2 linked regions of the Rattus norvegicus genome follow. The protein of the gene in region 2 purifies or fractionates together with the protein of the main gene of each other region. This does not show direct contact. Links are inferred from orthologs where the notes say so. Each region holds a gene or a part of one and is shown on either strand. Other genes may lie near its edges.

Region 1 (4,122 bases), on a different chromosome or scaffold from region 2:
AGCGCTGAAGAAAAATCTAGGAGTAACAGCATATACATGTAACCCAATACTCTGGAGGAGGGAGGCAAGGAAGAGCAGTTCAAGGTCACCATCCTCAACTACATAAGGAAGTTTGAGGCCAGTTTGTACTACATGAAAAAAATGTTTTTTACTGTAAATTATCAGAAATGTATTCAAGACTCAAGTTGTAACATTGTTGCTTACAATTCATTTGTTGAGGCATGATGGATCTCAGCATGTGGGAGGCGGAGACAGAGGCAGTCAGATCTCTGTCAGTTTGAAGCTAGCCTGGACTACGTGGACAGTTTTATGCCAGCCAGAGTTATATAATAAGATTCTGTCTCAGGGGTTGGGGATTTAGCTCAGTGGTAGAGCGCTTGCCTAGCAACCGCAAGGCCCTGGGTTCGGTCCCCAGCTCCGAAAAAAAAAGAAAAAAGAAGGGGAAAAAAAAAAAGATTCTGTCTCAAAAGAAGCAAAGCTAAAAAACACTGAATTTAAGTAATTTGAGAATATTAGTTCACACCATTCAAAACTAAACACAGTCCTCTCTAGTCCTAACTCTGAAACCTCATTTACTACTTCCAATCAGTAAACATTTCCATTGTTTTGCTACTATTATTTCAATGACAAAAATCTGAATTGTCATTGAAAAGATAACTGGGTGGCTTTTTAAGTTGCTGTATTCTACTTAGCAGCACTGTTATAAGAAAGAAAAATACAAATGAAACTTTTTCAATCCAGTAGCCATGTGTCCTGTTCTGTAAGTTCATTCAAGAATCACTGTTTATCTGTAAATATTTATTGAAAAACCAGCCCTACGACAAGTACTGCACATAAATATTATAGAGATGAACGTGATATAGCTTCTGTACTCATGGAGTTTCCAAACAGTTAATATCGCTCTAGGCTCCGATCTACTTTAGCTCTTAAGAGCTGAAAACAATTCACTCTAACTCCCTAGCCACATATGGGGTTTGTTTGCATCATCTAAAAAGTCTCTTGAGTTTATGACATCTTTGTAAGCTCCTTGACTAGTTCTTTGTAAACACATTACCTATGGACTCAGTAGACATCCATATTAACTCGATTACCAGTCCACCTATGATAAGTCAAGATGGTTGTATCCTACATGAGCATGCATTTTTAGGAGATAAGCTCCTACACAGCCTTATTAAGATTTGTAAAGCAATCACAAAGAAGTGTTTTCTAGGGAGAGGCTGGCTGGTAGCTCAGGGAATCTTTGTAAAACAGAACGTACCTTGTCGAATTCATCAGCATTTATTTAAGAGATAGCCCCTCAACTTTAAGACCACTTTATGTGCACAAAGTAGGCTAGTTTTCCTACTAGTGGATTCGCAATTTCAAAGCACTCTCAAAGTGATGTATTACCGAGAAGTCAAGTTATAACATCCCTGTAAGGAAAACACTGGCCAGGGGACTAGGTGTTAGGATTTTTTTCCAGCAGGCATACACTACTCTGTAGGCACTTCCACATCAAACTCAACCTCAATGACATGAAGAGATTTTTAACTACCAATGGACAACTGTTGCATTCTTAATGGAAATAAGCAGAAGTACTTTTTAAATTCTTGTTTGAGTCGGTGTCTGTCTACAAAGCTCTGGCTGTACATAGTACTGGAACTCACTTTGAGGCTGGCCACAAACTCAGATTTGCCTACCTCTGCCTCCTGAGTGTCAGGGATTAAAGGTGTGGGTCACCATTTCAGGCTCGGTATTTTTTTAGCTTCCCATTCATGTATATTTAGCAAGAATAACAGTCAGAGGGGATAGAGTTTGAAAAGCTAGTTTTCAGGAGCTTTTTGCTGTGGATTTTATGATTCTCAAGTTGTTTTCTTGTTTTTAACTGCCAACCTGGTCTCCATGGTGTGCAGGTCAGCCAGAGCTACACAGCAAAACCATCTCAAAACAAAACAAAAAAATCCCTTGTGTACATTCATAGGGAAGACCCTAAAGCAGACTTAAACAAGTGCAAAGAAATGGAGAAACCAGGTTCTAGACTCCTCTAGAAGATGTTACTCTCCAACTATTGGGGACAGAGTGGCCAAGAGCGGAGGAGTCACATCCTTTAAAGGCCAAAGCAACCTCACCCCCTGGCCACTCATACACCAACCTACAAACACTCAACACTTTGTTGTGGTCTTTTCTGTTTTGTTTTCTGAGATGGGATATCAAACTGGAGCTCGGGCTGGCCCCGAGCTCGTTGCAATCCTCCTGTCTCAGCCGCCTGAGTTCGATCACAGGTGGGATCCATTTGGCAAATTGAAACGCGGGTGAGGGATTATACACAAAAGTGCTTAAGCTTGTCCCGCCCCACAAAAGAGGTTCCAGAAGCATCCCTGGGACTAGAGTACTCGCGTTCCGGGATACCTGGCCGAGGATCTCCGCTCAGGAGAAGCCGTCCGGTCCCATCCTTAGTGCAGGCCACTCGTTCCCCTCCTCAAGTTCCCACCTCCCCTCAGGAGAGGCCCCGGGTCCAACCCCACTCAAGAGAGACCGGCGGGTCGCGCCTCCTCTCAGGACAGGCCGCCGGGCCGGGTCCCCCCACAGGGCAGGCCTGTCTCCTTAGCCCCGTGGCTTCCGTGAGACCCCGGCCTCCCGGGCGCGCCGTCCGCGGTGACCTCAACCTGTACGCTCCCCGGAGCCTCGCCTCGCCCCTTCCTCCTCTCTTCCCGTCAAGAAAGAAAGGCTGGCGAACAGAGGAAAGCCCTCACCGAGTTCACAGCGTCCTGCAGTTGCGTGAGTCTATCCGCCATGTTCTCCGCGCACGCAGCGGTGCGCAAAAGCTCCCCGAGAGCGCGCGATTGGCCAATTTATGACGGCTGTGGGCCAATCATAGGGCTCCCTCCTTGAGGGGCGTGGTTAAGGAAGCACGCTGCCGGGGAGGGGCGGAGCTAGCTGCGGCCTGCTTAGGTCAGGCGGGTAGGATTCAGGGCTGGCGAGCCGGAGCGGGACGCGTACAGGCGGAGCCGCCCCAAATTCGCGGAGACGCTGGACGGAGCCTGCGGAGGGACCGTGCTTCCTCCCTCCTGCTAGCTTTCTTGAGGCTGTGCCTCGCTGTGTAGTCCTGGCTGTCCTGGAACATGTTTTGTCTGTGAGGAGTTTTGGTTTTCGATCGTTTGTTTGTTTTGCATTATCTGGAACACTTTTTACTTTTACTTTCCAGGTATACCACAAAGCATACACTCCATTTACAACCATTAGCCACAACACACGTTAGCTATTCACAACATTTAAACCCAAGATAGTAACGTTGTCCAGGCAATCAAAAAAGGATAGAAGAGGGTGGCTTGTTAGTTTGGGGTAGGAGGTGCTTACCCCACTGGAGACTAGATTTGTGCTTTAATTCTGTAGGAGTAGGAGTGCCCTGGGGGGAAACGACACATCAGGAATGGAAAGCATTAAACAGCGCTGTGCTGAGGAACGGATGACAGCTAAAGTTGAAAAGGAGGAAGAAGGGCATTAAAAGGTGGGAGGTTCATTGTCAGCACAGGCTTGGAGGAAATTACTGTGAGGAAAAGACAGATTGAGAGGAAAGGGAAAGGCTCTGGTCAGCAGAGGTTCCAGGAAAATAAGTAAGTTAGGCAGGTTCAGAATTTAGGTTTAGAACTGGGGCTTCCTGACAGTTTTCCATATGAAGGGTATAGCAGAAAGGTTATTTCTGTTAGCCTGGGGATATTTTGATGGGAAATGAGTCCTGAATCTGCAAATACCTGGTTCGGGGACGTCGGACAAACTCTTTTAATTTCCAGGCTGATCATTCCTGGAGTTAGAGGTGGGTGGGTTTGTGAGCCAGTCTTTTGTGGCTGCAACCGAATAGCACAGACAAGTAATTACAAAGAACATCTACTCCCTACAGTGTTCTGGAGGCTGAGAAGTCCACTAACAAGGTGCTAACATCCTGAGAGAGCCTTCTTGGTGAACCCTAGCAGAGGAGGACATAACAGAGGAGGCTGTTGTGAGGTATCCACCAGAGAAGACTCCTCAGATGTGGTTAAAGCCAACAGATAGTCGTGATTAGCCAACTTTCGACCTTACTGGGTGTTCAGGATCTTAGGACAGCCCCGAGTCTTCCTCAGGGCGAACTTTCAAGCACAAAATCTG
Region 2 (2,643 bases):
TGCACGGAACCTGAGACTTGCTGTTTCAGCCTGTTTCTACACCCCCATCCCATCCCAAGGCTGAGCTGGGTTTATATCACGTGTGTCCCTGCTTTTACATGAATGGTGGAGCTCCAAACTCGGGTTGTCATACTTGTGCAAGTGCTCTTTACCCACAGTTGTCCTATGTGTAGGGCCAGGTTGGTGAGACAGCTGTGACGAAGCCAAGTTGGTCCCTGCCATCATCGAGAATTTTAAGTATCTGACTTGTCAGGTGTGCTCATTGGGAGTGTTTTTATGAGCTTAAAGCTAAAGAACAAAACAAATAAAAGACCAATCCCTGTCTTCTGGGGTAGGTAACCTAGTAAGGGAACAGACATGTCTGACAACATTCTAAAAGTCATCAGAGGTGTAGAACAAGGAAGCCATTGTGGAAATGAGCTACACATGCTAATAACTGACTGACTGCCCTCTACTCCCCCTGTCACCCAGCATGGACAAGGACAGCCCGGATCTCCACCAGGACCTGAACGCCCTCAAAACAAAGTTCCAGGAGATGCGGAAGCTCATAGGCACCATGCCTGGCATCCATGTGAGCCCTGAGCAGCAACAGCAGCAGCTACACAGCCTCCGAGAGCAAGTCAGGACCAAGAATGAGCTTCTGCAGAAGTACAAGAGCCTCTGCATGTTTGAGATCCCCAAGGAGTAGGACCAGCTCCTAGCAAAGCTGCCAACAGACTGAAAGCGTCACACTGTGCTGTCCAGCTCCTTGGGAGCCCAGCTCTAAACTGTGAGGCCACATGTGGCTGGTGTGGGGCCTGGGTGGCTCTACTCAGCCTCCACTCTCTATGCCTTGGGCCTCATCAGAGGGAGAGGGGGTAGCTGTTCCCTTCCTCCCTGAGCTCCTCCCACTCCCACTATCAGCATGGCATCAGGTACATACTGTTCCCATCAACAGCAGTTTCATGAAGCATTTGCATAGAATTCACGGGGTAAATTAGGCCTGCACTCAGATGGCATGGATTTATTATAATTAAAGAAGGCTGTGAGAGTATGAATATTGTGTTGAAAGGCCAGAGGGTGGGTGGCTTCTCCCCCAAAACAGTTCACTTCCTTTTTTGTTTGAACAACTGAATGAAACTGTATCTCTGGGGGCGTCAGCCCAGAGCTCTGCCAACCAGCCTCCAGCTTCAGTCGCTGGCCTCCTGCATCTCGCCTCACCTTGTAGGCTCGGCTGCCTTTGTCTCCATCACTTCAGGCAGTGCTCAGAATAGCCAGCGCACTGCTTGCCCGGGGCCCTTCGTCCTTCTTCCCATGCTGGTTCAGAGAGGCGGTTAAGTAAGCGGCTCTGCCCTGATTCATGCCTCGTCCTCTCCGCTCTCACCAAGGAGTCAGCCATACTTGCTACCCTGTACATGGTCTCTGCACACTTCTAGTTTGGAGCAGAGTTGCTGGCAGGAGCAGTTGGGGGCAGTTTCTCAGCCAGGGGATGTGTGGTTTAAAGGGCATGGGGAGCTAAGTCTGGAGGTGCCATCGCTGTGTTCTACTTGTAGAGAGTGCCCAGCGAGTCCCAGGTAGCACACTGTGTTCTCTGTCTCCCAGGGACTGTTACACTGAGGGCGCCATGGCCCTTTCCTTCTCTCAGGAGGAAGGTGAGAAGTACCCAGGATTGTTTGGATCTTGAAATGGGCACAGCCTGGGCTCAGCTTAGGACTTAGCAGGTGCCTGCCAACTGGCTTTGTTGGCGGAGTGCTGGCTGGGGTGTTGTTGGCGGAGTGCTGACTGACCGGGGTGTTTTAGCAAACGTTCTGTCTGTCCAGGACGCTTCACACTTGGGACCTGGAATGTCAGTGGTTTGGGCAGAAAAGTGGACTCTGAGTTTGAATAGAGGGTGACAATGAAGCCACCTCTGCCTTGGGGCTGTCCTTTAACCCAGTCAGTTCCTTTCTGCCAAGGCGAAGCAGTGGCTGGACCAGCTTTAAGGCTCTGCCCAGTTCCTGTAAGGGCAGAGCACGTGAAATGCAGGAGCTTCGGATCTTCCTGACAGGGAAGAAAGAAGGCTTCCTCGAAGGGCTGGAGGCTCGGAGGCTTCTCTGTTCCAGTGTGTTGACCTGTCATGTTTTCACATATGTAATTAAAAGTATGTTCTGTTCTCAGGACACATGGTTTGCCTGTTGTCTCTGTCTCTCTCAGGGCTAGCAGTCAGACCCTGGGATTGCAGGTCTTTAAAATGAAGAATTAGAGTGGTGTGTTGAGTGGGTGGTGTAGAGGCAAAAATGTTCACTGCGCTCCTCCTTCCGCCCAGCATGTACATCTGTTAAATGAGCACAAAGCCTACACGTCTCCCGCAGGGGACCCTGGGGAGCCCAGCCATTCATTGTTGAGAAGTGAGTGCCTTTCTGAGATTTGAGGAGGTACAGTTCCCTGCAAGTGGCCCTTCCCAAAGCAGGGTTGACAAGACCCTTCCTCCCCCGGTCCCAAGACAATTTTGAGCATCCCCGAAGGTCAAGACCCTGGAAAAACCAAGTATTTGGCTGGGCGGCTGCAGCAGTTGTGCTGACTCCTTGGAGACCATGTTGACCCCTGCACAGAGTGCCTCGATTTCTCAGCTGCAGAATTGGAGACTTGGAAGGCGACACTTGCCCTAAGTTGACCGTAGGAGTG

What was found.
Region 1: the proteins of Med9 (region 2) and Med21 purify together in Homo sapiens (co-immunoprecipitation; 8 studies listed by BioGRID and IntAct, counting the BioPlex papers as one, with this or other methods). This does not show direct contact. The link is inferred for Rattus norvegicus from reciprocal best matches to the Homo sapiens genes MED9 and MED21.

Annotation. Positions count from the first base shown.
Region 1 is NC_086022.1:181,289,955-181,294,076, reverse strand, and holds the start of Med21 (mediator of RNA polymerase II transcription subunit 21), read right to left. Parts: upstream 2,804-4,122; 5' UTR 2,775-2,803; coding exon 2,733-2,774; intron 1-2,732. UniProt on the Homo sapiens protein: Component of the Mediator complex, a coactivator involved in the regulated transcription of nearly all RNA polymerase II-dependent genes.
Region 2 is NC_086028.1:45,262,851-45,265,493, forward strand, and holds the end of Med9 (mediator of RNA polymerase II transcription subunit 9), read left to right. Parts: intron 1-471; coding exon 472-688; 3' UTR 689-2,138; downstream 2,139-2,643.